Linked DNA regions of Kluyveromyces lactis. The protein of the gene in region 2 interacts with the protein of the main gene of each other region in a biochemical or structural test. Links are inferred from orthologs where the notes say so. Each region holds a gene or a part of one and is shown on either strand. Other genes may lie near its edges. The genes, in order: BET1, SLY1, SFT1, BOS1 and GOS1.

Evidence for each region.
Region 1: the proteins of SLY1 (region 2) and BET1 form a complex in vitro, tested with the Saccharomyces cerevisiae proteins (2 studies listed by BioGRID). The link is inferred for Kluyveromyces lactis from reciprocal best matches to the Saccharomyces cerevisiae genes SLY1 and BET1.
Region 3: the proteins of SLY1 (region 2) and SFT1 form a complex in vitro, tested with the Saccharomyces cerevisiae proteins (2 studies listed by BioGRID). The link is inferred for Kluyveromyces lactis from reciprocal best matches to the Saccharomyces cerevisiae genes SLY1 and SFT1.
Region 4: the proteins of SLY1 (region 2) and BOS1 form a complex in vitro, tested with the Saccharomyces cerevisiae proteins (2 studies listed by BioGRID). The link is inferred for Kluyveromyces lactis from reciprocal best matches to the Saccharomyces cerevisiae genes SLY1 and BOS1.
Region 5: the proteins of SLY1 (region 2) and GOS1 form a complex in vitro, tested with the Saccharomyces cerevisiae proteins (2 studies listed by BioGRID). The link is inferred for Kluyveromyces lactis from reciprocal best matches to the Saccharomyces cerevisiae genes SLY1 and GOS1.

Annotation. Positions count from the first base shown.
Region 1 is NC_006040.1:1,197,593-1,203,746, reverse strand, and holds BET1 (Bet1p), read right to left. Parts: upstream 3,419-6,154; coding exon 2,975-3,418; downstream 1-2,974. Other genes in the region: YIA6 (NAD+ transporter), read left to right, coding at 1-225; protein disulfide isomerase EPS1, read left to right, coding at 657-2,777; iron-sulfur cluster assembly protein CFD1, read left to right, coding at 3,825-4,676; VAB2 (Vab2p), read right to left, coding at 4,701-5,546; YEA4 (Yea4p), read left to right, coding at 6,061-6,154. UniProt on the Saccharomyces cerevisiae protein: SNARE required for targeting and fusion of ER-derived transport vesicles with the Golgi complex.
Region 2 is NC_006040.1:1,554,587-1,562,427, reverse strand, and holds SLY1 (syntaxin-binding protein), read right to left. Parts: upstream 3,694-7,841; coding exon 1,765-3,693; downstream 1-1,764. Other genes in the region: RVB1 (RuvB family ATP-dependent DNA helicase pontin), read left to right, coding at 291-1,664; chaperonin-containing T-complex subunit CCT6, read right to left, coding at 4,056-5,690; methionine aminopeptidase MAP1, read right to left, coding at 6,346-7,473. UniProt on the Saccharomyces cerevisiae protein: Able to suppress the functional loss of YPT1. SLY1 is essential for cell viability. May interact indirectly, or directly with YPT1.
Region 3 is NC_006038.1:1,173,973-1,180,089, forward strand, and holds SFT1 (Sft1p), read left to right. Parts: upstream 1-3,126; coding exon 3,127-3,162; intron 3,163-3,299; coding exon 3,300-3,557; downstream 3,558-6,117. Other genes in the region: RPL14A (60S ribosomal protein eL14), read right to left, coding at 830-1,117, 1,581-1,709; CAP1 (Cap1p), read right to left, coding at 3,683-4,471; ESCRT-0 subunit protein HSE1, read right to left, coding at 4,884-6,117. UniProt on the Saccharomyces cerevisiae protein: Vesicle SNARE required for retrograde transport within the Golgi complex.
Region 4 is NC_006040.1:492,324-498,774, forward strand, and holds BOS1 (Bos1p), read right to left. Parts: upstream 5,318-6,451; coding exon 5,315-5,317; intron 5,200-5,314; coding exon 4,456-5,199; downstream 1-4,455. Other genes in the region: phosphomannomutase SEC53, read left to right, coding at 384-1,148; FMP32 (Fmp32p), read right to left, coding at 1,364-2,002; FMP25 (Fmp25p), read left to right, coding at 2,428-4,269; cyclin-dependent protein serine/threonine kinase inhibiting protein SIC1, read left to right, coding at 6,024-6,451.
Region 5 is NC_006041.1:52,654-59,044, forward strand, and holds GOS1 (Gos1p), read right to left. Parts: upstream 2,890-6,391; coding exon 2,242-2,889; downstream 1-2,241. Other genes in the region: FPS1 (Fps1p), read left to right, coding at 450-2,141; ATG10 (E2-like conjugating enzyme), read right to left, coding at 3,205-3,672; succinate dehydrogenase iron-sulfur protein subunit SDH2, read right to left, coding at 4,670-5,434. UniProt on the Saccharomyces cerevisiae protein: Involved in transport from the ER to the Golgi apparatus as well as in intra-Golgi transport. It belongs to a super-family of proteins called t-SNAREs or soluble NSF (N-ethylmaleimide-sensitive factor) attachment protein receptor.

The DNA.
Region 1 (6,154 bases), about 360 kb from region 2:
ATACTAAGAACCAGGTTACAACTGAAATCTGATATGAAACCTTCCATTAAATCGATAATACGAACGACTTATGCAAAGGAAGGGATAAGAGGGTTTTATTCGGGTTTCCTAACTAATATGTTCAGAACTGTACCGGCATCAGCAATTACTTTAGTCTCGTTTGAATACTTCAGGAAGCATTTCAAACTTTGGAACGATAGTATAGAGGTAGAAAGGGGCGGATAGAATGGATGGGTTTTTTTTTTTCATTATCATCTCTATGTTTCCATTCAATATCTTCGCTTTTCTATATAAATATTTATGCACGACGTTAACTAACACCTACACGTCATATACTTAACTGTATACCCACATACTCACGCGCACGTATTCATTTAAATATTCTCTCATATTCATCGTTAATTAACCAAAAGTCTCTACACTTATCCTTTACTTGTATTGTATTTATTTATATATATATATATGCCTTTATTCATCATTCTTATCAATCAGTATCTTTTTTTGCAGTAATTTAAAATAGCCTTATGCCCATTTTGACTACATGCAACATAGGAAAGGTTGGAAATCAATACGATATATATACATGAGTGAGGTATTGGAGCAATTAGGAATTCTTGTGCTACTAAGAAATATCAGCTAAAGGTTCTATTACCGAAATGGTTTCTCACTTGTGGCTTTTGCAATACTTGATTCTTTCGATACCATTGGTTTTAGGTGCACCACCAAGAGCTAATCCTAATCAAGGTAATGCTGCGGATCCAGAAAGTAAATTACCGTCTCCATTGACTGAAGCCAACTTTGACGAGACCATAGCAAAGAATCTACACATCATCGAATTTTTCAGTCCATATTGCCATCATTGTAAGCAGCTAGCCCCAATTTGGGAAAAGACGTACAATGGCTTTTACGATGAATCCTTGCAGCTCAACATATCTCTCCATCAAGTGGATTGTATCGAGTCAGGAGACTTATGTATGAAAGAGGGTATTAATTCATACCCTACCATCAGATTATATGGACCAGAAGGCTTTATCAAGGCATTTCCCAGAGGTTTGGAACGGACTGAAACAACTTTGCTAAATTTTGCAAGAAAGGAAGCTCTGGATGCAGACAATCTGGATATCACTAAACTATCGAGCAAGAGTAAACTGTTGAATGATGGTGAGCTCTTGAAGATTTTATCAGAACCTCAAACTGAACCATACTTTGTCTCATTTTGGCCAACCTCTGATTTTGAAGATATCGAATCTTCTTATCAGTTCAAAAACTGTGAAGACTGTTCGCTTTTTCAACGGATTTGGAAGTTGGTAAGTAACAAGGCTGACTCGATAGGAATCAATACGGTACATTTCAACTGTGTGAATCCGACAGATTCTTCAAAGAATGAAGCCATTTGTAGGGAGTTGTCCTTCGATACTTTGACTCAGAAGAGAAACTCTAGGTTAGAAAGAGCCCCGGAATTTGCATTGATCTTACCTAACCGCAAGAGTGGTAGTTTTATTAAGTTCCCATTTGGTCCAAAGCGTGTCGATAGCGAATCCTTGATTGATTTTGCTACAAGAACTTTACACAACAGTAACGTTCCAAATATTGATCAGGATGAGATCGAAGCTTTTGTAAAAGAACCAAAAAGTGACATTTTGGAAGCAAATGCCGAAGCCGATAAAATATTGCTTGTATTTAATTATAACCCGGAAACTGTTGTCCCTGAGGATATGCAATTTTTGGAACAACTCATTGACCCATTGGGATACATCCCTAATATTTACTTGTACAAGAACACTGACGACCTAAAGAAGTTAAGCCATACTCTCTATCAAACTCTGTACAAAGATTATAATACCGATCAACGCACTGAAATTAATGAGGACCATTTTATCACGACATCCATTACCCAATCACCAACGTTCTTCATATTCAAGAAATCTACGTTTACTCCGATCATATTCCCTGGATATTCAACAACTGAAACCAGAAATTTGGACTTCATCTTGGATTGGCTCACTATAAACTCTCTTCCAACTGTCACTGAGATTACATCCAAAAACTTTGAAGCATTAAAAGGATTTGAACAAGATTTCTATGACAAGTTGGTAATTCAATTGGTTAATAAGAAGAATAATAAGTTTGAAGAAGGTTCAAAGAAAATCGTCGAAGGCCTACGAGTAGCGGCACATAGTTATGAAATATTGCGTAACGAGGCGGTGTACGAAGGTCTTAAGACGGCCAGAGAAGAAAAGAAAAAACTGGTGCAAAAGCTTAAGAACAAAAACGCACCATCCGTTGATATAGTCACTGCCATGAGAAAAGAGATAAATTACAGTTATAATCACAAGGTCATATTTGCCTATTTGGACATTAATGAATCCCCTTCTCTCTTGAATAATAAAGGTCTAAATGTTTACTTCAGGAAGTTCAAGACTGGTGATATCATTGTCGTGGACAAGCAAAAAGCCATCTATTACGAAAAGGATGCTTCTGGACAATACATCACCCTAGAGACGTTGCCCGAAGTCCTCTCCATTCTGAATTTCCCCGCAAGACACCCTGATCTTCGTATTGAACGCATCTTTTTGAGAACTCCACTCAGTGGATTGCTCAGATTAATTGACTACCTCCGCGAATTTAGCGGAATCAATTACTTATTTGTTGTGGTGACATTCTTGGCGTTATGGAAAATACCCAGAACCATTCATCATTATAAACTGAAAAGACGTTACGCTGCAAAACGGGATACTCATGGTATCCTCGGGAAGGAAGCTAAGCTCATGGATTGAGGAACAGGAATTCTTCCTATAAATAATCTTATATTTCAACCTAATACTGATAGTTACGATTTATTAATATATCTTTTTAATGGTACATATAATGCGTGAAGGAATGCGTTTAACCAATACGAATTAGATATACATGCTCGATGGGATACTCTTCAGTACATGACCCTTTTGTGGTTTTTTATTTCGCTCTCGCTCTCTCAACGTATCCAGACGTAGAAGAACAAAAGTGTCAGAACACCAAATATTATGAACCATATTTTTAATGGAATGCGAGAATTCTGAGCCATCACCATCATTCTCTTGAAAGTCCTTTTCAAACGGTTGCTAGTCTGTTCAAAAACGTTTCCTAACTGATCTAAGGTCTGATTGCTACCACGAATCTCATCTCCCATTCGTAGAGATAAATTCTTTAGTGCGTTGATCTTTTCACTCATGGTATTCATTTGTTCATCACTTTGAGACTCGAGCTGCGAAAGTGTTGCTTGAGAATAATCTACCCCTGGGGATGGTCTATCAAACGGCGAACTTGGTCTATCCTGTTGTTGTTTATACTTAGAGAAGTCAGTACCCGCAAACAATTGCGTCCTACTCGCATCTCGCTGTGTCAAATCACCTTGCATTCCACTATAGTTTGAACTCATACCTTAATTATTTCTAGTGCCTCAACAATAAAATACAAAGTGTAGATTTGTCAAGATACTCAGATCTAACCATAGGGAATTAAGTGCAGTTTCACCTTGGAACTTCCTAGTCCATCTGTAAGCTACTACCAAATCGATTCGCTTAACGAAAACTTTTTGTTGAAGTTTAATCACGTGATATTGTCCTCGAAGGTTTCCCCTTCGCTCTGACAAAGGTATCATTATCATCATGAAATCCTAGTTAAGCTAAGAGTTAAATGTATTAGTCAACCTACTGTTTAAACGGCTGAGAAAAGTATTTGCAGTATACCCTTTTATAAGTATTCTGTCCACTGTGAGCATATACAGTCATATCTGCAGTGGCTGGTACGTTTAGTGTCCCAGGATCATAATCAATTGTATCTCGATGTCAGCTGAAACCGAATTATTGGGTATGCCTGAGTCCTTAAAGGACATCAAGCACATTATATTGGTCCTTTCTGGTAAAGGTGGTGTTGGTAAGTCATCTGTCACCACACAGACAGCATTAACTTTATGTTTAAAGGGATACAAAGTGGGTGTTTTAGACATTGATCTAACTGGACCGTCGTTGCCTAGAATGTTTGGTTTAGAAAATAAACAGGTTTATCAGGCTTCTAAGGGTTGGATACCCGTTAGTGTTCCTACGACATCAGGAGGGGAATTGAAACTCATGTCCTTGGGTTTTCTTTTGGATGATAGAGGTAATAGTGTGGTATGGCGTGGTCCTAAGAAAAGTGCTATGATTAAACAATTTATAAAAGATGTGGATTGGGGAGATTTGGACTATTTGATTATCGATACACCGCCCGGAACTTCGGATGAACATATATCTATCGCAGAAGAGTTGAGGTGGGCTGCACCTGATGGTGCTATTATTGTTACCACGCCTCAAGGTGTCGCTACGGCAGACGTGAGAAAGGAAATCAATTTCTGTAAGAAAGTCAACTTCAATATACTCGGTGTCATCGAGAATATGTCCGGATTTATATGTCCTCATTGTGCTGAATGTACAGATATCTTCTCTAGAGGAGGCGGTTTCAAATTAGCCAGCGAATATAACGTTCCGTACCTGGGGAATATTCCAATTGATCCGACGTTTGTCGAGTTGATTGAGAAACAGACTGGGTTCAAAGAGAGCTTAGTTGATCTCTACAAGGATTCTGGATTGTATGTCATTTTCTCAAAGATATTAGATAATGTACTGAACGGTGAAGTAAAAAGTGGAACAGATCAATAATGGGTAAATTTGACATGAAACTTTTCATAAGTCAGCCGATTTGCTCATGCCTCGAGGTCTAGTGAACGGTTCTGTGATACATATATGCTCAAGAGTTGTAGCGATTGATGGCCTTGATGTACTCCGGATTGATGACAGTGCTAATGGCGCCGAGGATATCGACTGACGGTACGATTTGGTGGTGTTTGAGTCCGCTGAATTTCCTTTGGTACTATGATAATCTTTTTTAGCATTATTTTGGCTTCCATTTGTACTTTGCCTCGAATAAGAGCTGTTCAAACTCTCGGAATTAGCTTCGTTCTGTGACTGCCCACTATTGTCCTTATTCGCTTCGGTTTCTGTCGTGTTACTACTCTCTGGGAACCTTTCTTGCAACAGCTTTGAAATTTTGCTGAATTGCGTCGCATCAACTTTTATACTACCGTTTCTAGTTACGTAGTCTAATAATTCTTCATTCACATCTCTGATTATTCGTACCTTCTTATCAATGTCAGAATATTTGCTTTCGAACTGTTTTAACTGTTTATCCGAATCCTTAGTGAATTTTGATCGTAGTTTTACTAACTTAGAAAAGCTAGACTCTAGTTTTTTTACCGAGTGGTTGATCTTGTTATTTACTTCTTTCGTCTGCGATTGTTCTGTATCGATTTCTTCCTGAAGTCTCGAATAAATTATGGCAACATCGTCACTGATTTGATTTACTTCCTTGGCCACATTGGAGAATATATGATCTTGTCTCAATGAAGAGGAAGAGGGAAGCAAAGGCAATGATTGCAACTGTTTAGAATAATCACTCTTTTCAATTGTCGCAAAGTGGAAGCTCTCTCGCTTCCTCAGGTGCTTCGAATCTCCATAGAATAGGAAACTCATCTTATAGCAGTTGGAATCTCAACCTTCAAAGAACCTTAAAGTTATTGATGGCACTGGGTCAGTACAAGTATAAAAATTTTAGCCAATAAATAATGGTTCCTGAGTACACTAATAGTTTAGTTCAACTGAGCCTTTCTCGCTGTTCTTTCTCTGACAAACGTGCCCTTAATACGTTGGTTTAATGCGTGTCTATTTTAAGGTTCGCATTTATGGTTCTTAAACGTTTTTTCATATAAAATTCAGGCAACCTCTTTACAATACATGTCATCATGAAAGAAAGATTGTTTAAGTTGATTTGAAATCGTTCCGGATGTGTAGTCTAGGGGTATTCATGGTTACTGAATTCAATTGGATTGATGAGATTAACTCTATTGGATTCATTTAAAGGTCAATTGATTGCTAGTCCTTTTTTTCCTATTGTCGATTGAGAGAGTTACTATATATATAGAAACCATTCCATGTGTTGAATACCCTTACGTTGACCAATTGATCTCATAATTTCATTTCTTTAGTAATGATAGAAATATTGGCTATTTTATCGTTGTTTGGTGGGTGCTGTTCCAATGTATTGAGTTTAGAAGAACTTTTACTAGATAATAAAGATCGGT
Region 2 (7,841 bases):
CATGATATCTAATCACGTGGACAACTATCAATTCCGTATGTGATGATATGTATGCTTTTCTTGTTTACTGGGCAATTTAGAAGAAAAAACAGCAGTCGACATCTCTTCAAATCTGGGTTTCTTTGATGATTTTCAAGTATTGACCGGTCTTCTTTAGCTAGCTTTCGATTGAGTAGTAGTAACGGATCAGCCTTTCAATTTTTTAATAGTCCTGCAGTCGAAAGAAAACTAGGAGAAGATATCTATTATTACCATCTATATTTTCCTTCTTGCGATAGTATAACGTTAACATGGTACAAATCAGTGAAGTGCAGGAACAATCAAGCACTGCGTATACCCGTACTGCAGCTCACACACACATTAAAGGGTTAGGTTTAGATGAGTTTGGTGTAGCAAAGCAAGTGGAAGGTGGTTTTGTGGGGCAAGCAGAAGCTCGGGAAGCGTGTGGTGTCATCGTCGATTTGATCAAAGCCAAGAAAATGTCTGGTAAAGCTATCTTATTGGCTGGTGGGCCATCCACTGGTAAGACAGCTTTGGCTTTGGCAATATCGCAGGAACTTGGTCCTAAAGTTCCATTTTGTCCCTTAGTGGGCTCTGAATTGTATTCCGTTGAAGTGAAAAAGACAGAAGCTTTGATGGAAAACTTCAGAAGAGCCATTGGATTAAGAATTAAAGAAACAAAGGAAGTTTACGAAGGTGAAGTTACCGAATTAACTCCAGAGGAAGCGGAAAATCCGTTGGGTGGTTATGGTAAGACAATCTCGCATGTTATCGTCGGATTGAAGTCTGCCAAGGGTACTAAGACATTGAGGCTTGATCCAACTATATACGAAAGCATTCAAAGAGAAAAGGTTTCTGTTGGTGACGTTATTTATATCGAATCAAATACAGGTGCGGTGAAAAGAGTTGGTAGATCAGATGCCTTCGCAACTGAATTCGATTTGGAAGCGGAAGAGTACGTTCCCCTTCCAAAGGGAGAAGTGCATAAGAAGAAGGAAATAGTTCAGGATGTCACTTTACATGATCTAGATGTCGCTAATGCCAGACCTCAAGGTGGACAAGATGTCATTTCGATGATGGGACAGCTCATGAAACCAAAGAAGACAGAGATAACAGAAAAGCTTAGACACGAGGTTAATAAGGTTGTCGCAAAGTACATTGACCAAGGTGTAGCAGAACTTGTCCCGGGTGTTCTTTTCATTGATGAAGTGAATATGCTTGACATCGAAATATTTACTTACTTAAACAGAGCATTAGAATCTGATATTGCACCTGTGGTTGTTTTGGCCTCAAACAGAGGAATGATCACCGTACGCGGCACTGACGACGTTGTTTCTCCTCACGGTGTTCCACCAGATTTGATAGATAGACTCCTAATTGTTCGAACTCTACCTTATAACAGAGAAGAGATCAAAACAATCATATCAAAGAGAGCTGCTGTAGAGAACTTGCAGGTGGAGGACGAAGCATTGGAATTTTTGGCGACTTTAGGCACAGAAACTTCTTTGCGTTATGTTCTACAGCTTCTATCACCATCAGGTATCATTGCTAAGATTGCAAACCGCGCCGAAATATCGGTGGCAGATGTTGAAGAAGCAAAGCTATTATTTTTAGATGCTAAAAGGTCTACGAAGATCTTGGAACAATCTGAAAATTACTTGTAACTTTAATTTCGTGTTAACATGGCATCTTACTTCATCAAAGTATAAGTTTATTATAAATATATACTGACAACAAATAAAATCATAAATCTATATTATAACCTCACTTTTTAAATCCTGAGATCTCTTTCAAGAATCCGTTAGGGGAGATTATATCAGTGCTACCATAAATGACCTTCTTGTTGCTATTTTCATGTTGGTGAACCCATTCTTGAAGATTTTGGTATTCAAAGTAATTACCGCCACCTACAACAAACACCAAGGATTTATTATATGTCTGACTCTTTGGTAGCTTCTCGTGCGAACCCCTTGTGCTTCTAGGATCAAAGTAAAGATATTCACTTGTAATGTGAAGGTTCTTTTTTGAGCTGTTCAATGGATCCATGATGGCTTCGACGATATTGGTAATGGGAATCGTTTTCTTCTCGGGAAGAAGTTGTTTGATTCCAGAAAGAAGAGAACTAACACCTTGTATTTTCCCCTCAGTTAATCCATATAACTTGTTTGATAGTCCGGAGAGAAGCTGTGATGCGTTACCGTCCTGGCCTTCTGAATTAGCGGATGTATGCGTTTCTAATGATTTATTTTGTAATGCCATTGAAGAGAGTTTGAACATATGTCTCAAATCATATATGTACTTTAATGCGCTGATATCATACTCGACGCTTTGGAAATATTGCTCCACTTCTTTGACAAAGGCGCTAGGCAATATTTCTTGTGCTGTCAGGTACATTATGATATACGTACGCGCCTTATCTTCGATGTTGTTAGTCTTTCCATCTTTAAGAGCAGCAAGGAAATCTTGTCTGGTTTTAGAAGAATCGGAAGATTGTTCCAACTCAAAGAAAGAATCTAAGCCTTTGCTTTCAAGCTGTTTCAAAAGCCCTGCGAGAACTGTCATGTGTGTATCAATGGTAGATTTTCTAGCTGTGAGAAGTGGTAATTTTTTCACAGCTTCTTGAATTTGTATAGTGTCACTTTGTCCTGTTGGATCAAGATCTGTCAAATTGCTTACACCAGTCTTCTTGGTAATTTCTTCTGCATCTTTTTTGTAATTCGAAAGTTCAGTTTCCACGTTCTCGACAGCATCAGGGAATGGTAGATGAGAATTGGCAATCCAGAAAAAATCTTTTGGGTCTATATCCATTTTTTTAATAACCTCTTCGTTTTGCTCGTTGGTGGTAGGCATGGTTATAGTGTTTCTTGATAATTTGAAAACATCAAATACCAAACATTGATAAATCCAGGAATGTGCAAACATAGAAGCAATGTCAATATTTCTATCCACTATAACAAGAACAAACCGCTCAAATGAAGTTGATCCACTAGCTGAAGATCTGGTACCATTGACATAATCACGCAGTTTGGTTTCAAGTTTTTGAGCCACCATTTCAGCAGCACCACCCCTTTGTGCTCTAATAATAGGTATAGTTCCAATTGTGACGATAGCATTGAAGATCCCAGTAGCAATTGAATCGCATAGATTAGTGATAACGTCCTCAGAACTCTGAGGATTATTAATAAGTCCATAAGTGCCGGGCATCTCCAATGAAAACATTTCCGGTTCTGTTACAACGAAATCCAAATATTGATCGTACACTTGTTTTATTCTGTCAGACTTGCCAGTAGCAGAAGCCTTGCTTGCAAAGGTTTCTAAAAGATCTCTTTTCAATGTAGTTGTGAAATTGATGTATGTTTCTGAATACTTATCTTCTTTCAAGTCCTGGACAATCGCATCGATGTTCGCTTCTGTTGGTTCCACGAAATACACTGCTGGAACATCAGGTAAAGGGGATCTCTGTTGTGTGATAAGGGCGTGAACTGTAACATTGGATTTTAACAAGTCATTGACTCTCATAACAGATGATATTATAGCGGTGCTCCTAGCATCCATGATCAGTACTTTCCAAACGATCTCTTGTTCATCAAGATTGCTTGTTGCTGCTTCCGTTCCTTTATCTGAATTGAACAGTAGCATCTTTTCAATAGACAGAATCTGTCTGTCTCTTAAGGACAATTCTGAATTCAGCATATTACTCTGGTATATATGTGATCCCGATGAGGTATGCTGTTCAATGGTTTGCAGTCAATGACTTCACTCTCGTCCGTACTTTCTGTACTTTTGGTGTGTCTGTTTATTATAAAGGTGCTTCCAGTTTTGATGTTTAATCATTTTTTGAAGTATATTAGTATTTCGTTTTCGGTGATGGAAACGGTATTTGGCCAACACGTAGATTTGGATCTATAGCACTCGTGAAGAGATCGCATATTACATATACATCGGCCAAACTTGAGTCTTGTACTTCGTATTTATTTCCATTTAGTATACATAATTCTATTTGATTTTGGAACCTACGTTAAAGACAGTGATATTTTTTAATTGTACCAGCTTCATTATTGTGGTGGACCTTCCTTCAATGTAGATCTACCGGCTCTGAGTAGTTCGTCGCATAGCAACAAGTTAGAGGCTATACCTGCGGCACCAGTTACTGCATTTCTGAGGACACGATAAGAGTCCCAAACACCTTCTATAGTTGGATCACAAGAGTCGCCAATATTTAGATCAACACCCACTATTCTTGTCTCATCTTCTTCCAACTCGTCTTGGCATTGGGCAAGTACATCAAGGGCATCATATCCGGAATTCTTTATTAATGTCTTAGGAATAGACAAAAGTGCGTCTGAAAAGGCTTGTACACCTGTTTTTGCTTTACCTTTGGCGCCTAGCTTGTTCATATTCGCCCTTTTCAAGTGCTGGGAAGCAGAAATGAAGAATGCCCCAGCGCCAGGAACGACAGCACTGTCTTTGATGACATTTGCAACAGCTCTTAAACCATCTCTTACTGCATCTTTGGTTTGGGTCAAAGCGTGGTGAGTAGAACCTTTAATCAAAATGGTACAAGACTTAGGATCTCTGTTTTCGGTGACGTAAGTAAATTTCTCCTCGCCGATAGTTTCCTGGTAAACCAATCCGGAATAACCTAAAATTTTAGGCGAAAGATCATCAACGGAATTTTGAGCTTCACCCCCAGTGACGAGTTGTAGTCTTTCCATATTACGTCTCTTGGCTCTTCTTAGAGCAAGAATGTTGTGTTTAGCAAGAACATCTAATGACATTGGGTCGATACCTTTTTGGTTTATGATAACAAAACCCTCTTTAGAATCCATACCACATACTTCATTCTTCAAGTCGATGATTTTTTTTAATTTCTCATCAACAAATTTTCTTTCACTAGCAGCCAACTTGTCTCGTTGGTCAGCAGAGCTGTAAAAGAAACCAGAGTTGACTTCCGTCTTCTCATATTCCAAAGAAACATTTAGAATCAAAACATGTGCATTTTCGACTCTGGTTGGCATATCAGGATGTCTTCCTCCATGATCCAAAATTAATCCTTTAACAAAAGTGGTATCCTGTGGAGATAGATGTTGCATTTGCATTATTTCAATCATGTGTAAATCTAGATTTCTGTTGTTAGGATCTTGAACAGCCAAAACAGCATCAGTGACGATTGGTGTTAAAACTTCAGTGAGTTCTGGGTTGACTTTAGTACATAAGGAACTTCTGGCAACCTGCAATAAAAATTCACGATCCAAATCCTCCTCAGCGCTCTTTTCGATTTTGAAGGTATCCAAAAAACTTAAGGTTTCCTTTCTTGCAATCTCAAACCCGTCAGTAATTGTTCTTGGATGGACACCTTCTTGAATATATCTATAAGCTTGTTTCATCAGTTCTCCCACCAAGCAGACAACGGTTGTAGTACCGTCCCCAGTAATTTCATCTTGGGCAGTGGCTGCACGAGCAATCATGACAGCAGTCGGAGACTGTATTTGCATTTCAGTCAATAGGACTTTACCATCTTTGGTCAACTTGATATTACCGGCACCATCGACCAACATTTTCAAAGTACCCTTAGGTCCTAGGTTAGTTTCCAAAACGGATTGAAGACCCTCCGCTGAAGTGACGTTGACTTTTAAAGCAGCATCTCTTCTTAGGGACTCGGCCTTTGGATTTAACAACTGAACTGACATAATTATCTTGCTTTCTCTCTATTATGCACTGCACGTAATTGGTATTGTCAAATTATGACTTTTGATCTGGATAATAAGATGCAAGCAATTGACTGCAATGAATATCACAACTAAATATTAGAGAGTATAGATTGATTTCGGTTCTATTAGAATCAACGTTGTGGACGAAAATGCAACAGTATCTTTCACTCTTTTGAATGTTATTCTTCTTCAACACCGAACGTTAGCCATAATTAAAAGCTTTACTTTCTCCATCAGAAAACTTAGATCACTGTTTTCGATTAATTTTTTTTCTTTGGAAGTGGCGAAAGCTAATGGTTACCCGGTTATTGAAGCAAAGCAACAATCCATGCTGTCGTGATCCTCATATTTATGCAAAGATGATGAAGATTATACTTTAGTAGGACCGCACATCTTCAGTATAATAAATACTAATAGTGGTTTTCAATGAGAATTCTCTAAATATTTTGGTCTTCTGTAAATTGATTTATATGATGATATGTATTGAATCTATTCACATGAAAGACTATGCCGAAATGATGTCCGTTATGACGACGATGATGGCTGTTTTATGGATTGTTTCCTATACGAAACGAGGTAAACAGTAACTTTCTCTATTGATATTCATTTTTTAACTATTGTCATTTCACTGGGTCTATTTTATCCTATTTCTTGGGCCGCCTGGAGACTTCTTGTTCCTTGCCGTCAAGACTTCAACACCATTCTCGGTGACCAAAAGGGTTTGCTCAAACTGAGCACTAACTTTACCATCCTTTGTTGAAGAAGTCCAATCGTCAGGCCAGGTGATATCTTGCCATACACCTTCGTTAATCATAGGTTCTATAGTGAAGACCATTCCAGGTTTCATGACACCGGGCGTTCTGTTGTTAGCATAATGTGGAATGCTGGGGGCACAGTGGAAAAACTCACCGACACCATGACCACAGTAAGTCCTAACAACAGAGCATTTGTTGGATTTGGAGTGCTTTTCAATGCAGTCTCCCAAGGATTGAAAAGTTACGCCTGGTTTACACATCTTGATGGCGAGTTTCAAACATTCACGGGCAGTTTCAACGGTATTTATGACATCCTTGGCGATAGTCTCACCAACGTAGTAAGTTTCGTTTAAATCTGCATGCATGCCTTGGTAATACAATGAGACATCTAAATTGACAATATCTCCCTCTTTTAGAACATATTTGTCAGGAACACCATGACAGATAATCTCGTTCACAGAAGTACAGACGGATTTAGGGAAATTATAGTAGTTGAGAGGAGATGGGTATGCTCCCCTCTTGATAGTCTCGTTATGCACTATCTCATCAATTTCATCCGTAGTGATACCTGGTCTAACTGCGGCGGCCGCAACATCTAGCACTTCTCTACCTAGAGCACAAGCTTTTCTGATCCTCTTAATTTGCTCCTTATTGTAGACAGGAATCTTGTTTGTTCTATCATTTCTTTGTTCGATGATGGGTAGCCCATTTTCTGCCCAATCTGGTTTCTCGATCTCATCTGGGACCTGTCTTTTTGGCGACAGAGGGTATTGAGCTTTCAGCTTGCCAGTATACTTGAATTTTGGAAACGGATCATACACCTCACCAGAACCATCTGTACCATAATGTAAAGCCTTATGCTGTTTGTACCCGTCTTTGAAACAAGATTCTCCACAAAAGACCTCTTCAATACCTTGCTTCAAGCAAATCGGGCATTTTAACATCGAATCTGTAACTTTACCACATTGTAGACTAGAACAACGGACATTAGCGATTTTTTCCTGCATTTTTTCCTCTTAGTGTCTTCCAAGATTTACAGCTGCTATGTCAGTAAGTGCAGTTCAGAAACACCTTCTATATCACTTGGAATACGTTTGGTATAAATAAGTGAGAGAGAGGAGTAGAAAGAGCTGTATCTGAGCTTCTCTCATCGCATCTCGTTCTCATGTTCTTTATTAAAGGTCGAAACAAAAAATTTTATTTGAAAAGTCAGATGAGTTTAAATGTCATACTTTTCTTTTAATTCTACAGTGCGAAGACTCCGCATTATCTATGACACATTTCTAAATATCTTAGGAACAACCTCGGTTTAGGGCGATTGAGAGAATAGTGCTTAGAAAATTTTGATTAACTGGCGGTTACTTCTGATCCTAAG
Region 3 (6,117 bases), on a different chromosome or scaffold from region 2:
ACACTAAAAAACCAGTGACGCTAATTGGAAAAAACAATAACCAAAAAATAAAAAAACACGACTATAACAACGGCAATAGTTGAATATAATCTATCGTACGCTCTCTGATTCGTAACTCAGTGGAATGAAAGCTTCAATTAACGATATCGTCCACTTCTCTATATTAAAAAAAAACTCAACAAAAAAAAACTGTAAAAGCGTCTTTGTCCAATGCTTTCTTGGTATAAAGTAGTGAGTTAAGAGATAAAATAACAACTGCTTTCCGTAGTTTCTCAAAAACTTTTATTCTGATGTCAATAAAAGGGCTGACAACGATGATGTACCCTGGTTCACCCTTTCCATCTGTTTGTTATTTGTTTATGTATTTATTTATTTATCAATTATTTTGTTTTATTTCGATGCTGATTTTTTTTTGTTTCTTTTCCTTGAGAATCAAGAAACGTTCAACGTATTAAGAAACTAAACAATATAGGTCTAAAAGCAACAGTTAGCAGTTTAGAAACCTTACATACAAGTAAATCCTGATTACCGTTAATTTCCGACATGTTAATGAAACAAAGGACCTCGATGATGTAACAGTGTAAACACGAGTAATTTAGATGTACATTATATTATTGTTATAATAATATATACTGATAAGAGTTGAAAACCCTCACTTTAAAATTATATGTATGTATAGTGAGGATAGTCATACGCCTCAAAAGACTTTAAGGAAATGAGGAGTGAGAAATGTTATTTCTATGAAGAAAAGAGATTTTTGAATTTGTAATTGTTGCTAATGAAAGGAATTGGCAAAGCTTCATAATAAACCGATTAAAGTTTAAAAAGTTTAAGCCTTGGCAACAGCCTTCTTAACAGCGTATCTCTTTTGCTTCTTCAAAACCAAAACTTGGAATCTTTCGAAGTCAGACAAAGCAGCACGTCTTTCTCTTTGAGCGATCTTCTTAGCCCAGGAAGAAGTAGCCCATTTTTCAGAGACACCAGCAGCAGCCCACTTCTTTGAAACAGTAGCAGACTTAGCACCTCTTGGAACAGCAAAGGTCAATGGAGTCAAAACGACTTGACCTAAGTTGATAGCTTGTCTTGGGACACCAGTGGTTGGACCATCAATCAAAGCCTGGAAGGAAATTAAAATTAGACAAGTTAATGTCATGGATATTTTGTTAGTAAAAATTGTTCGATACGAGTTTATGGATAGAAACAAAAAAATAACTAGGAAAAGGACTGTCATGTTCATACCAAGTACGAGAGCCATCGAGTATTAACGACACATTCCTAACCTTACCAGAAGGAGGGAAAACAAACGTAGTCTAAACCTCTCTCTCGATGTCTGTTCAGTACAATAGTTTTTCATTCATTTCTCAAAGTATACTTTCTTTAACTCGGGAAACAGTTTATCATGAATCATTCTTTCCTCTTCCTCATATTATTCTTCGGTTCGATCCTATACATCTATGCAACTTTCCCAAATAAAGCATAAGAATACCAGATCGCAGTGTGATCGATATCTGTTCTTATTTCAAATGGAAAGATGGTACTGTACAGGGAATCTCCGTTTCATTATAATCTGTAAAACATACTCTCTTTTGGTCAATGATTTCAACAATAGTGGCCAACTTGCCGGCGGATTGGCCTTGTTTAACCAAAACAACACGGCCAACTTCGACCAATCTCCAGTTAGAAGCTTTAACAACAGAATCAGTGGACATCTTTCACTTGGTTCTTCTTCCGTTCTGTAAATCAAGACCAAACCTAATCTAATATAACGTAATAGTAAGTATTAAACCGTTATTATAGTATACCTTCAAATAGTGTAACAGATAAAGTAGTCAAACAATTTTGTTAAACCTTGGTTCCAAACTCAAACTTCCAACGCAGCCCTGTGTGTCTGTGCGTGTCTATCCGGTGAAGCTGGAATTCGCTATTGTCAGAATCCAGGACGCAGAGTACCTTGGAGTGCTTATTGATGAAAAAGTTGCGTGGGTAACAATGTATGTGGGCTACGGGTTTAAAATACATACCTATTCCAATTTAGGTATTATATTACAGGACGAATTCATTTTCATCCTAACACAGGCGCAACAAAATATGTAATGGTTGGGTGTTTAAAGGACATTATTGAAATATAATGAGATGTACAGGTGTATAAAAGGGCAGTCCCACGAAAATTGTTATCAATGTCCGCATGCTGATTGAATTATATATAAAGAGAGCGTATGAGATGAGGTATGCTGTTTGTATTCACACGATTAAACGGTGGTATTGTTAGACAGTTAATATTAGGATTGTGTTTCAAGTATGAAGCTTGTTCGTCACTTTAATAATAATAGTAACAGCATGAGCAGTAGCCACTGCTATTACTATACCTAGTTTTAGTGATGATTGAGATTTAGCAGCAGGAAGTATGGATTTGAGAAGAATTCTTATCATAATGTTTCGTGGTTTTGGGGTTCGCTTCTTTTCTTTTGAATGATGTTTTATAATTTGCGATCGAGGGCAAGTCATCTCGGGACATGCCTAGTTCCATTATGGGAGTCTTGTGGTATGCGAATAACTTTCGGTCTGACTATTATAGAAAAGAATCCTTTCATTACAACACATTCATTATAACTAATTCTTCTCTTTCTTTCACCTCAGCAGAGGTGAGGAGATAATTATCGTGTACTTCTGCACCTAGTCATGTTCCAATTGTGATCATACTTATATATACCACATATTTCTCAGGTATGGAGGATAAAGCGAACCATAACTATCTTTACGAGATGAAAACAGTTGCCTAACGTTGATTTCATATGAAAATTATAAAACTAACAAACACCAAGATCTACTCTGATTTCGATAATTATGGTTTTCGCTTTGTACCGTTAACAGCGTCATGTATAGTATTTGTATTCACCGTAGCTTTCTTGTACCTTTCGCTATGCTTCGCTGACTGAAATGAAATATCATTTCTAACGTGTTTTGAAGATTCAATTCCCATTATTATGAGCGATAGAATTGAAACACTGTCTGTACCTTAAAAGGCAGGATCAAAGTGCACCTCAGAGTTTATATTATAGCGAAACGTTCACATTTAGCAACTAGAACGCGATATAGAGCCACTCTTGCATAAAGTGAACTCTCACCATGTCGGATTCCAAGTACTCACAGGTGGAAAATGATGTATGTTCTACCAAAAAGACGTTTGATGGCAGAATAGGCTTGAACCTACAGGCGCAGTATCCTTACCGACTGTACGGTATGCAAGTGCCACTTTAAGATCGAAATTTACTAACGTAACGCTCAAACATTTTCTTTAGAATAATCAAAGGTTAGACGAATTGGCCAATAAACTATCTACATTCAGAAATATCAACCAAGATATTGGAAATCAAGCCGCAAATGACAGCTCCCTTATCGACAATATACAGAACTCATTCGGTCAACTTTTCCTTAATGTCAAGAACTCATCTACAAGGCTCCAGAGATCTATGAATGCCGGTAATAATATATGGCGTATGGTGGGTGTATCATTATTGTGTTTCTTCATATTGTACACGATATATAAGGTATTTTAAGAACCTTTTGCTTACTGACCGCAAGTACTCTTCTTTATAGGAAGAAGTTTGAATAAGCAGAAGATATTCGTTGTATATACACATATGTATACATTCAGGTAATGTAATGTCATAGCATCATCCTTTCATGCACCTTGAGCAGCATCTCTTCCCAATCTGTAATTACCGATCCCTTGTCCCCAGTTGATCTTGGCTCTAGTCACGGGTAATCTTCTTCTCAATCCCTTGAACTGTGTTTCATTCATGTACTGGAACTTATTGATGAGATTCTTTTCAAACTCGTTCTCAAACTGCTTGATGCTTACTATTGGTGAATCCGTCTGTGCTGATTCCAAGGAAGCAGTTGATTTGAAACGAACGTTACCGTCTTCGAAGTAATGAGCATCGACGGAGACTTCGCCAGAGATCGTATCCCCATCGACATCATACACATATTCTGATAACCAGTAACCAGTCCAGAAATCACCTAAACTTTTCTTGTTACTGACAACGATTATGGCATATTGGTCGCTCTCTGGAATCTTAAACACGTTGAACACAGCTGTATCAGGGAAGAAGTTTGAAACGTATTTAGACAATTCATCGTAAAGGTCTGATTGTACCTGAGTGGCATCTTCACTGGTATATTCCTCAATATCACTAGCTTCGCGGGTAATATGGTCTACGGCAAATAAAACCTTGTTTACTGGATCGAAATATTTACTTCCAGATTTATTGTATTCAGACACAAGATATCTCTCTTCACCCTTAGCAGCTGGCACTCTGTGCTTCTCATTGAATTCTTGGATAATTGAAGCAATCTGTTGCTTGCTTTGACCATCGCTTAACACTTGTAGATTATCGTAAACCAAAGAGATTTCCTCTGGAGGGGAATCGAATACAATATCTCTCACAATCTTCTCAAATTCAGACATAATATGATTTTCACAGTGTGAATTGATGTTCACCACAATTTACCTTAAAATGACAGGTTAATTGTCTCTAAATCCACTTCTTCACTGGTAGATTTTTGCCTATAACTGTAGTAAATTTTAACTTAAGAGTTCTTTACGATATCGTTATTCGTCTCATTTATTTTTTGAAAGAAAAAGGGACCTTAAATTTGAAGGAACCTAGGCTATCCATGACTTGTACTAGGGAAGAGCTGCAGTTGATTAATGACATGGAAGGCGCGTAAGGCCATGTGTTTTGGCAATATATTGAGATTTAAATACTCTTACAACTAAATAAACATGCTCTCTTGACGTATGTGCAAAGAAATAAGCTTATCATAGGATAGTATTTTTATATAGAAGTGCAGATTAAGCATGAAACAGAACAGATCCACTACTGAGCATTACTGTTAGAGCTCATGTTATAATGTTGAGGCATTTGAGGTTGCTGCGGAGGTATAGACTGCATTGACATACCGGTGTACTGAGGATATGGTGCCAATGGCTGTGGGATATGGTTCGTACCAGTATAATTGGTGTTACCGACTGAGCTCGCATAATTTTGAGGTGAGTTTATTTGACTCAAGGGCTGCTGAGTTTGTTCAGACTGTTGAATTTGTTGAGTTTGTTGAGGTAATGGATATGAATATGGCGGATTTGGTATGCCATTCATTTGCGTTTGTGTATTTGTAGGACTTGTGTATTGAGCAGTTGGTGACATTGGACTTTGTGGGCCTGGAGTTGGTGCAGGTCCCGTCATAGGCGCGGGCGGAGGCGCAGAATAAGCATAAGCATTAGATGCTCGACTTAGCAACTGGTTGTATGTGATTTCAGCATTAGCCAAAATTTGACGTAATGATACGAGATCTTCTTTCTTCTGAGCGTACTTACCAAGCATCTTTGATATCTGTGGGCGAATTGGTGAAACTGATCCGTACAAATCATTTATCTCTTGGTCTTGCGTGATATCTGCGTTTCCAGCTTCTCTCAACTTATTCTGTAGCCTGTCAACATTGTCCTTTTGAGCGAAAACCTGTTCGTCCTTTGCTCTTTCTGCTGCCAATTCTTGTTGAGAAGGTTCTGTAACTGGAGTTACATAATTGAGCGGGAAGATTCCAACGCTCCCAGCAAGCGTTCCTCTCCACCAATCCCTGTACACCTGCTCAACCACACAAATCAGATCCCCTTTCTTGAAAGATAATTCATCCTGTTCTGTAGAATTGAAATCGTACATTGCCCTTACCTTACGTATAACAGTTGGCGCTTGTTGTTGTTGAGCTTCGGCATTCTGAGGGTACAGTTTCTGTTGTTGCTGCTGTTGCTGCTGCTGTTGCTGCTGCTGCTGCTGTTGAGGCTGTTGTACTTGTTGCCTGCTACCCGTCTTTTCAAATTCAAGTAAGGACAATCTTAGTGCCTCTGCGAGCTCTTTTTCCTCTTCAACCTCTCTATCTTTACTCATTTCTTTCTTCTTAGGTACTCGAGGCTCTGAGATCAACTCCGGATGTGATATCTTGATTTTGCTCTCTAGATCATGCATATACTTCAACGAAGGATCGTTCTTGAACGAATCTGCTAACTGATGAACGACTTTCAACACCTCTCTCTTCACCGCTACATGAACCTGAGAA
Region 4 (6,451 bases), about 1.1 Mb from region 2:
GAATTACTGAAAACTCCATGAGCCGTTACCAACTACCACTTCATCATCCGAACTGGCACATACATATAGATAATCACGCCTATATTGCATTGCAGTACATTGTCAAGATCCTTTGGCCGTTCTCTTCGTTTTCTTTACGTGATTTTTTTCACGTTTCTACATTCTTTACACGTAGTTCTAAATGAAAAATTGATGAAAAAAACCATTTCGTGGCATTTTATATTTAACACAGTTGACATCTAAAGAAACAAGAAAGCCAAATATTTCTTCCCACATCCTTTCATTGAAGTATCCTCTTCAAGTAACCATCTGTGATTAAACTTAATAGCTCCGTTTTACAGAGGTAAGATACAATATCTCCATCGATAAAAATAGATCAAGAAATGAGTGTTTCAGAGTTTTCGCATAAGGAACAGCCAACCACTTTGGTTTTGTTTGATGTTGATGGTACTTTGACTCCAGCCAGATTGACCGTCTCAGACGAGGTTAGAGACATCTTGAAGAGATTGAGAGAAAAAGTTGTTATTGGTTTCGTTGGTGGTAGTGATTTATCCAAACAGTTGGAACAGTTGGGATCTGATGTTTTGGATCAATTCGACTATGCCTTCTCTGAAAACGGGTTGACCGCTTACAGATTGGGTAAGGAACTAGCTTCTCAATCCTTTATCGAATGGATCGGTGAGGAAGAATACAACAAGTTGGCCAAATTCATCTTGCAATACTTGGCTTCCATCGATTTGCCAAAGAGAAGAGGTACTTTCTTGGAATTCAGAAACGGTATGATTAACGTTTCACCAATTGGTAGAAACGCTTCTACTGCTGAAAGAAACGAATTTGAACAATTTGATAAGGAACACCAAGTCAGAGCTAAGTTCGTCGAAGCTCTAAAGAAGGAATTCGCTCATTTGTCCTTGACCTTCTCAATCGGTGGTCAAATTTCATTTGACGTTTTCCCAACCGGTTGGGATAAGACTTACTGTTTGAGACACGTCGAAGCCGACGGTTTCAAAGAAATCCACTTCTTCGGTGACAAGACTTACAAGGGTGGTAACGACTATGAAATCTACGTCGACGACAGAACTATCGGTCACTCTGTAGAATCTCCTGCTGACACTGTCAGAATCTTAAAGGAATTGTTTGATCTATGAATAATGGTTTCTACGACTTTGTAGTATCGTGTATCAATTAGAGATCATTTGTACCTATTCCTGTCGGGCTTTGCCCCATAATTAAAGTTAAATTAAATACCGAAGTTACTTTTGAAAGCTAACACGTCTTTCCATGGCAACATACCTATGATTGCAGCCTTGTATTATGATACGCATGTATATACATCCACTGAAAGAAAACAATGGACAAAGGTTCAAGTTAGAAGCCTGACATACGCCAAGACAAGTGCAAATGTACCAGTGCATACACCTATTAGCCATTGCATGACTTGCGTCTTCACAGAATCAATTTGCATCTTCATGTTCGTCACTTCTTGATCAATTCTGGTATCGATTTCTTTAATCTGCATATCATGGTGACTACTTTCCTCCCTTATACGACCTTTCTCCAAGGACAAATCCAATTTAAAACCGGCATTGGCCTTCGTGATTTCTTCTCTGAGCTTATTTCTCATCGTTTCCAGATCTTTACGTATCCTTTCGTGTTCATTCTGTAAATTATGGATTTCACTACGGTCCGCTGTAAGCAATTGTTCCCTAAGTTTTGAAAAGTCAACCCTTTGTTGGTAGGTAAGTTTGGTAAGCTTTTCTCTTGAAGCAAGATCTTGTGACACATGTGCCACCCCACCTCGTAACGCATCAATCATTATATTCACTATCACATTAGATTGCTCCTCAGAGAACTTACCTTCATCCATTAAACGCTGCCTGAAATGGTTCGTATCCCTAATGTGCACAGTCTCCATATCATTGTAAAGGATACGAGATGTATGAAGGGTCCGTAATCCTAAAAACCCACGAGGATAAGATGGGAAAGCGAAAGATCTTATCATTGATATCTTTTTCAGTTGTTAAACAAATTTAGAAGACCCCAGTTATTGACAAGATATCGGAGATTTATCGGATATGGAATAACAACAATGTAAAACTTGAAATCGTACTGTTTAGGTATTCAGAAGGAGTTAGCCCCGAAACCAGTGGAATTTAACGTTAGTTGTTTCACCTTTGAGATTGCCATTGAATTTCTATACATATATATATTACATGTTGTTGGAAATAGCCATGTAAAGAGTAAAACAGACGAAACCTTTGAAATTAATGCTAATGAAACTAAAAAAAAAGCCAAAATGAGCTGTCAAATGCTTGATGAGGAAGCGAAGAAATATAGAAAGATTTATTTATAAACAGTGTGCTATATAACGGTGAAGGCGTACCAGTTTGTTAAGGTGTTTCTTGGAAACTGCAAAGTGTTAAAGAGATGTTCCGCCCAATAGTTCGTTGCGGTGCGAATCAAGCTACAAAGATCAGCTATTCTCGGTGTGGTCATCAATTTGTTAATGGGTTCCATTCATCTGCTGTGACACTACTAGGGAAGGAACCTAAGTATGACGATGCAGAAATTATGGCTGAACGCTTGAACAATGCGAATTATGTCGGTAAACGTGTTAAGACAGACTACCAATGGAAGGACAAGTCAGAGGCGCAATCTGAAAAAGAGTACTTTGATAGGATGGAAAAGTTAGCTAAATTGTATGCTGTTCTTCAAGGTCTCCTATTTGTTGGTGGTGTCAGCGCTATTGGTACCGCATATATGATGTGGCCTCAAATCAAGAATTGGTGGATTACTGAAGACATTCATGTAAGTGACGATGTGATTGAAAAATTAAAGGAAAAAAAAGAGCGTAGGAAACTGACCGATATACCTGTAGTTCCAGCTGACTCGGCTGATAGTTCAGTTGTGGGGTTGTATTATTGGGGACAAAGATTGGGAACTGATTCCAAAAAAGCCGTCACCAAGTTCCCATTGAGAGTTCCATTTTTCGATGGTATGAAACTAAGAGATGTTTGCTTAACTGATGATGGAAGTTACGGAAACCTAGCCGTAGACAAGGACGGAAATCTATTTGAGTGGGATAATAGTAAATGTAATTTACTGTTGAAAGATCAAAACTTGGTACAAATCAAAGTTTCGAACGATGTCGCTTATGGTTTGAATAAAAAAGGTGAAGTGCTAGTCATTCCTTTAAAGGATAAGAGCTTATTTTCAGATAAAATTAGTTGGTCAAGGTCACTGTTGCTTCCTTGGAAAACGTACTGCCGTTACTCTTGGAAGCTAGACACAAGATCTGCGTTCCGTTACTCTGGTGAAAAAAAAGTGATCCAATTTGACGTTGGTTCAAACCATTTGGTTCTTCTTTCGAATAAAGGGAAAGCTTATACATGCGCGACTGGTACTAAACACGTTGAAAATGAAAGATCTAAAGGACAATTCGGTATCCCAACGTTCTCGCAATTTGATCCATACCCCGAATTGAATAGGGTATACGAAATCGAACTATTAAATACCGGTATTGCTGGTGATCATGTCACATCCAGATCAATTTCCAAAATCGCATGTGGAGACTATCACACCCTTGCTTGTGACTCAGTCGGGGAACTTTATTCTTTTGGTCTAAATACTTATGGCCAACTCGGCCAAAGCATTAGCTACGATATGGAATATGTACCGTTCCCAAAGAAGGTTAGCAGCTTTAGCGGACACTTTGAGAAACATGATTTCTTGAAGTGTGTCGAAATTAATTGTTCTGGAAACACGTCCTTTGTTAGTATACTTCCACAGGATGTTCATAGATATTTCAAAAACAAGGACTTTGCAATTGATATTGACAATGACAAGGATAACATCACTTATTTTGCCTTTGGTAATGGTATCCAAGGGCAATTAGGTAATGGTCATTTCAAGCATTCGCAATCTACTCCTACTCGAATGAAGGTGATAAACGATCTCAAGGATAATACCGTAAATTCTGATAAGCGCATCTTGATCAGAGATTGGTATTGTGGAGAGCAGCATGCTTTTGTAAGATTAAAGAATGGTGAGATTATGTGCTGGGGTTATAATGAAAATGGCCAACTTGGTAATGGGAAGAAGATCAAATGGGACAAACCAGCTTACATTCCTAGATTGTTAGAACCAGGTGAAAGGTTCAACGGCAAGAACCTAGACATATTGTACGACGAAAATAATAAACTAGTTATTTCAGACGAACAGAGTCTAAGAGCTGGTAAGGAAGCATCTTGTTTATTCTGGAAGGCATAGCGAGTGACTCTCATTAGACCTGATTTTTAAAATCTTGTAAATACATCCTCTTCTCAGTATACGTTACTACGTTTTCATGAGAACATATTACGTCTTTATTTTTATAATGGTGGTAGTTACAAAGAAAGTCTATATTTATTAATATATCTCCGAGTTACTTTGATAAATCTTTATTACAAACATTGATCAGCCGAACCATTTTAGGACGAAATAAATTCCTAAGATTAACAATAGGAGACCAATGTAAAAAATGAGTTTGTCCTTGAACAACCTCTTATTAATCTTTTCGATTGTTTCATTTGATACTCCGAGTACGTGTAGAGATTTTGTCATCTGAGACTGCAATCTCTGAAGGACCCTGTTCTGTTCCATGATATCTTCCAAAGATTCCTGTCCCATCTGTAATATTCTGTCCAAGTGCGCGTTGCCTCTCTCAAAGATCGAGTTCTCTTTCCTCAATCCTTCATATAGTGGTAAACCAGCCGCCGAATTGATAGTCATTCTTTCACTGTTCTGATCTAAGGCGCCTATTCCGAAAGATGTTTGCGGAGGAGCATTGATGTTCCTTTTATTCATCACGGTCTCTTCCACCATTGATGCTTGCTGGTTGAACAACTGATCTCTCGCATTAATTTCTGAGTATTTTTGCTTCAATTCGGTAAATTTCTCTTTTGCATCTTCGTAATCCTGTGTTAAGGTCTGAAGTCTCGTCTCATACTTTAGTTTAGTTTCGTCGTTGTCATCTGAACTATTTATTTGATATTGCTTGTATTGTTCCTTGTACTGATGAAGCGTTTTCTCGAAAGAAACAAGGGTTGTGGCGATCGCCCCTTGCAAAGAGATCGGCGCTGTTACGAGCTCTTTCTCAAATTTACCCAAGTCTTTATTTAGAAGACTTCGCTGCTTGATGGCATGATTATACAACGCGTTCTAGTGATATCGTGGGAAACAATAATTAAGGTAAGTTAGTAAATAAGTAACACATACGCGACGCGTGTCTATAAATGTAGAAATACAATTAGAGCAGCGCTCCAGCGAAACATACCATCTTAGCCCTGTTGTGATCGCAAAAATTCTTGATCGCTAATGAAGATCCAAAAGATTCAAGAAAGGAATACTCTTGAGAAATACAGGAAAATGCTGAGTCAAACGTTGAGCGTCAATCGTCAATTCTGATCGATCTGAATTATCCCAATGCGTATGAATGTTCCATAAACTTTCTTAGTTTCCAGTGGTTCCACTGCTCACAGACGCAATCCTTGTTTAGAAGTTATTTACTGCTACTCAAGTATGACTGCTAAATTGTTGCTGGTTCAATATTATTAGTGGTTCACATTAAAAAAAAAATTAAAGATGCTGGTTTTGAGTCTCACATATATCTATATATAAAGATAGTTTAACAGCGAACCATATCCAGCATAGAGCGGTTGCATACGCACCTAAGTAATCGAATCAGAGTCTCTTCATATCAAATTCCTTCTTGACGATAGTGAGGTTACTGGAAACTGGTTTCAACCTACTCTGCTTTTTGCTTCATTATAAGTTGCCAGATTTTCAGTCCGTTTTGTTTTAGACAGAAAAAGGGATATCATCGGTATAGTATACATTCTATACCATCTTTGCTACTTTTCATTTAGATCTCATCAACACACCGATACATCTGAAAACAATATCAATAGCTTTCAATTGGTAATACTAGAGTTTATCCTCTTTTTTTTTTGCATTCTACGCATTACACTCTTATTTCCATAATAATGACCCCAGCTACCCCTCCAAGTTCTAGGAATAAGAGATCAAATAAGACAGATTTGCTGCTCGCAACTCCAGAGCGAGCCGCGGAATCTGATTCCTCTGGCATGGTTACTCCGGGGACAGTTAGAGTAAAGGATAGATTGCAGCCACCTACTAGACCCATGAATTTAACAAGTCCATGCCCGGCATTAAAGACACCTGAATATACCCCACATAAGAACAAACATACGAAACGCAGGATAGAGTTTGACCAGGAGAAGTTACAACCTGTCAGTAGGGTCTTGTTCGGATCGGATTTCCAAGTAGAAGAAACTTCAAACAACAGGACTTTGCTACCACCAAAGAGAACCGGTATAATGGAGTCTTTCAAAGGCGTTCAAAGTTATAATATCAATGATGAGTATGCTGTCAATAACAAATTCAAACTTGC
Region 5 (6,391 bases), on a different chromosome or scaffold from region 2:
CCTGGACCAACGGCCACTCTCATACCAGAATCAGAATACTAAAAGCTAATTCTAAGTATTTGAGGAAAAATACAAAGGTGAAACCAAACCGTCAATTCTTCTTGCCAGATGACGGCTGATGTTCTACTTGTCTTGATTATCGGTTTTGCCCAAGTTCTAGGCAGGCAAGTCAGCTTAGATAATCTCGGAAAAAAAGGAAAAAAAAAAGAACCCTCAGCCGTGGTAGTTGTAAATATTATAGAAACGTTCACATAACTAACTCATCTTTCGAATAATGGATATTTTTCATGTTTACATATCAATAATATCTATAATTTTGCGAAAGTTTTTTAATTAACTGTACAGATTTCGGATATTTACGACTTGCCGAACACTAGTTGAAACGAGAACTCTAGCAATACTAGATAATCAGAATCCTATAGTAGCTGCAGCCATAATTTGCGGTTGAAATGTCACAGACGGCCCAATATGAGCCTGTCAAAGACGCTGGAATATCCAATGGTGACTGGCAGAACGATGACTTTGCAAATGTGAATCATCGTTATCCGACAGGTAGCGTTGACGGGAATGAAAGTAGAATCTCAGGCGAAGGCGGTTATGACGATGATAACGATAGTGCAGATGATGGGGCTACGGTTCCTGTTACTGCCTACGTGCAACAATATCTGGACGAAGGTTCTTATTTTCCTGTGCAAGAGGTGGTACCGAATACGTCACTAAATATGAATAACTATAGGAGGATAAGAAGTAACACCGTAACTTCTAACGTCATGCCACCTAGGCCTACAGAAGGTCCGGGATCCGTGATGTCTAGATCGACGACGGGACCTAATCAAAACAGTCAAACTGCAGCAGATCCAAATGATCCGAGCAACGTGAATGGTGCCGTGACTATGATGGTGAAACCAAAGACTTTATATCAAAACCCTCAAACACCCACAGTTTTACCTTCGACATATTATCCGATCAATAAGTGGTCATCGTTTAAGTACCAACACATGAAGGAATTTTTCGGTGAGTTTTTAGGTACCATGATTATGATGATGTTTGGTACTGCTGTTAACTGTCAAAGGAAACTTTCACAACAAAATCAAATTAACAAATTTAATCAAATTATTCAGTTGAATAACATGGAGTCTGATCAAATAGCTATGCTGCAATATCTTGCAACTCCAGATGTTGCAGGTAATTTCGCAACTGTTGCCTTTGGTTGGGCTGCGGCTGTGGTAATGGGTTATTTTGCAGCAGGTGGTAGTGCAATTTCGGGTGCACATCTGAATCCAGCAATTACGGTGTCAAATTTTGTTTATAGAGGATTCCCTTGGAGAAAATTAGGTGTTTATTTTATGGGACAATACCTGGGCTCGTATATTGGAACCTTATTAATTTTGTGGTACTATCGAGAGGTTATTGAACATGTATATCCAAACTGGCATTTGGAGGAAAGTGTATTGGCAATGTTCAGTGTCGTGCCATTGGATTATCTCTCTACATCAAGACAAATAATTGCAGAATTTCTAATAGGGGCCATGCTGCAGTGTGGAATTTTCTCGTTAACAGATCCTTATACATGTTTGTCCACGGACCTTTTTCCTATGATGCTTTTCATTCTTATGTTTATTCTCAATGCAGCAGGCGCATACCAGACAGGTGCTGTTTTGAATCCTGCGAGAGATATGGGACCTAGGCTAGCTCTCTTAACAATCGGGATGGACAAAGATGTGATTTTTAACACGCATCACCATTTCTTCTGGGTTCCAATGGTCGTTCCATTCGTGGGAAGTTTCACTGGTGGTTTAGTATATGATTTTTGCATATATCAAGGGCACGAATCACCTCTAAACTTACCACTTTCAGCTTATACCGATTGGTTTAGAAGACATTGGGAACTCCTAAAGGTGAAAACATCATCTGGGTTCGTTGGTTCTGATTTAGAAACCATCGGTACTAATAACACAACCTCAAACGTAGAAAGCCACAGATCTCAGACGTCTGAGAACAAACAAGTCCATTTCAAGAGCGTATTGAGGAATTCAAAGACAAGAAATCCTAGCACAGGTATTCCTACAATCTTCGAATCAGAAGAAACAACCTACTCCCGACCAAATTTCATCCAAAAGCATAGTGACAGAAGCGCATGAGAACAAACACAAATGCATTCTTCCCTTTATAACGAATTACGTACCTATCATAGCATTAACAGTGATCTTATCAAGTTTTAATTACCTCAGTTGATACTATTTATGCTGTAAAAAATAGTACTAAGATACAAATTGATATTAAGGATGCCAATATTACAGCATTCTTCTTTCTTCTAGTGTTTATCTTTGATATCACATTATTAATCAAAGGAATGTGTTGCAAAGTCTGTAAGATTCTGTCACTAGACCTTTGTAAAAACACTCGTTGTGACATGAACTGCTCTCTGGTTTCATAAGCCTGGTCTATCAAAGAATCCACCACTGTGTGAGAATTTTCGACTCTCCGAGCCTCATCTTGAATATATTCATTTTGATTATCACTAGCACTATTTTGTAAATCTTTCTTCACTGAAAACAAGAGGTTAAGGCGATTGCGTTCTTGTTGTATGGAGGAGCGAATGTCACGGAACGTTTGCCAATTGTCTTGTAATGTTTCCCTATGGCGCTGTAGCTGTGATAGCTTGGACGTGGATATATTACTTTCACTGTCTGCAATTCTTTGTAAAGATTCCACTGTCTCCTGTCTCTGGTTGAGAATCTTCTCTAGTTTCTCCTGCAATTGCGTTTCTTGTCCTGACGGTTCAGAACTTGTTGTTTGAGCAAAAGAAGAATATTTAGTCAACAGAGAATCCGTTTGTGATTCTAAAGAAATTGCCTTAGATCTGACCGTTACAAATGAAGCTGACATTTCAAACGGTTGTAGCAGTTTGGTCCTTTCTGGTAATCGACATGTGTCTGCTGAGACTTCTTTGGTTTAACTCTTAACATTATATTATCCTTCCTATTTCTATTTTTTTTAATATTTCAATCAAAAGGAAACATAACGGTTGATATTAATCCTTGAACTGGAGGGGATACAAGGGGAATTATAACTTTCATCTAAATATACCTCGAAAAGATGCCTATGTCTCATAAAACATACACTTATACATGATGGAACAATGTTTATTGATGTATGCGAATAAATATTGTCAATCGCTTCGGCATTTGCTCGCGTCTCCCTTTATATAAGCATGATATTTAATGTAGGATCAAAGATCTGCAAATATAGAGATATCCAACGAAGAAGATATCTTTCAGGCTCTGTGCCCACATTTGCATCTGTATCGCAGTTATTGACATGATACCAAACTTCTTTAGTGGTGGGATCTGATGAAAGTGACACTGAAAAGGAATTTAGGGCGATTATAGACCGTAGTTCGACATCAGATAAAAATAAAAGCTTACTCGAGGACACATCTTCATCATCCAAAGCATGTTCCCATAACCGGAACCTTATGGAAGGTACCTGATATACTTTATCGTAGTTAATTTGCAGTTCGATTGTAAGAAACTGCTTTTGTCGCATGTTCACGACAAGAATGTGATCCGAGATTTCTTTAATGAGTTGAACCCGGCTGGCCTTGTCCCATCTTGATACAAGTTTGGCTATTTCAGGTAATTGTTTATTGTATTGTTGCAATGATAACATTTATCTGCTGAAGAGGGTCATCTCAATGATTATTATCTCCCTTATGCATCTGAATCGTTTCAGTTTTAACCTATTTTCAGGTTGATATTGTATCCTACCTAGCTCAAGGAATAAACAGAACCAGAGGTGTAAAAAACCGGAAGGGATGAAATTTAAAATGAAGAAGGGTATTTCGGAAGGATGTAAATTCCGCACATACCGCCAACAACTAAAAATAAGTAATATGAAACTTTCCGTTAAAGAGATTATACAATCAATGCATACGTTGAAAAGTGAAATTTAAGAATAAATATATGAAACGATAAGTTTTTCCACTTATGAGAAAAGCTTATATCAATAAATAATAAAACAGACAAAGTCGTGACATTTCATTTAGGTTAGGATAACAGTATAGGAACTGCTGTATGATGATACGGTGGTGGTTAAAACATAAAGTTGTTTGATAAGTGAGACTTCTTTACGGGCATTGTGAGGAACTCGCATCAGTCTGTAGTTTACCACGATTCATTCTTCCACTTTTCCCTGACGATCAATGGTCTGTTGAAGTATTATATCAACACCAGCCAGAGATAGAGAGAAACTTTACAGTGAAAGAACAATGATGATTGGCGCCAGAGCGGCATGGAGGTATTTGAACTGAAGGAGAGTCTATGTTTTGAAGAATCAAATTAAATGGAATGAAAATGAGAAGCTTGGTGTCAGGTGATTTTTGTGATTGAGATTCCCTTGATTCTATTGAACATTGGTTAAGTGCTCATGTAATGAGCACAGGAAAGCGTTCAATGCATTCCTTTTTTCTAATTTGTTTTTGTTTACTGGTGGAATGGCATATTTTGGAAATGATTTTAAAAGATCAAAATTTAGAGGAAGGAAGTGAAATAACTTTCTGTACTGAAGAGAAATAAAAGATCAAATGCAACCGGAGCAAGAGTAACCTTTTTCGTGGTATTACGAGCCAATATTACCCCATTGCACAATTTAGAATGTTTTGAATCCTCTAATCGACGGCCAAGGCCTTCTTTATTTCTGCGATAGCTCTACCTGGATTCAAACCCTTTGGACAAGTTCTAGTACAGTTCATAATTGTGTGGCATCTGTACAAAGACATGGAGTTTTGTAGCATTTGCTTTCTGATACCAGCAGCTTCGTCTCTTGAATCCACCAACCAACGGTATGCTTGCATTAAAACAGCAGGACCTAAATATTGTTCTTGGTTCCACCAGTAAGATGGACAAGATGTAGAACAACAAGCACATAGAATACATTCATATAAACCATCCAATTTCTTACGGTCAGCAATACTTTGCAAATTTTCCTTACCGTCTGCAGGTACCTCGGATCTTTGCAAGTATGGCTGAATAGACTTATATTGTTTGTAGAAATGAGTCAAATCCGGAACCAAATCTCTGACAATATACATGTGAGGAAGTGGGTAGATCTTTGTTTGTTTATTTTCATTTTGGTCGATTCTGCACAAACAGGCCAAAGTGTTCCTACCACCAATATTCATAGCACAAGAACCACAAATACCTTCTCTACAGGATCTTCTGAAGGTCAAAGTAGCATCTTGTTCGTTTTTAATCTTAATCAAAGCGTCCAAAACCATAGGACCACATTGGTTCAAATCGACTTGGTACTCCTGCAAACGTGGCTTTTCAGCAGGTCTATCTGGACTCCACCTGTAGATCTTGAAAGTCTTTAGCCTTGGAGCAACAGCCTTGGCTTCAGTAGCCAAACCTCTCTTAATGATAGCGTTAAACATTTTGTGTATGTCTTCTTCAATGATATTTTAATGAGATCTTATATTTTTTAGATCTTCTTCTTACTGTCAAATGAAAATCTGAAAACTTAACGGAAAGCGGATAAAGCGTTTATTTTCTATTGTCTGCTGAATATTGGTGTTATATGCTGACTTAGTTAACCAGAGTAAGCCTTAATAATAGTATTGGTAATGGTTTACTGAGAACAGTACTCGGAACGATGCGGTACAGTGTCGTAATATGAAAGTCGCTAAATGGGGACGAAAAAGACAGAGCTCTTAAATTCTTTCAATATATCACAAATTTAAACAAAGTACTTCTATTGAATGCAGGGCAAAAATGATGCTAACGTTCATAAAGTTGCTAATGTCTCGATTATATATATATATACTCAACGAATAAGTATCAAATAAAATTCCAATCCAAGGCCGGCCATTATTGGCAAATCACTGACAGTCATTAATTCCATAGAAACTCCCACTGAAGTGGTTGGCGATGCAGGCAGCTAGCTGAAAACCAAAAACACTCTCTACTTTCCTTGATCAGAAATGAGCGTATAAGCTAAGCTAATCCCTGTTTTCCAATTTAATTTTATTTTTTGCGCCAATTGCTACCTTTCTTTCTGTGCTGAACGACTCCTTCTCCCCTTCCCTTGTCATTTTCTCCTGTTTTATCATTTTTTTACCTAGAAGGGCCCGCTCGGTCTCTTCGGCTGAGCTTGGTCACTCGTTCCAATGGACGCAAAAAAATCGCAGGGAAAGTTTGAATTTTTTTTTTTTTTGATTATTCATGACAAAATCGGGCCCGAGCTAGCGGTTTTCTTGCGCGGAACCACTTTAATAACGTTTCTGTTGCTGACGTTATAAAGAGGGACATTTGTGGTGATTGGGTGTTTTACGCGGAGCAAACCGGGAAGATGTTTTCAGCACTGGAGTTCTGTTCCGAAAGCTTATACCAAG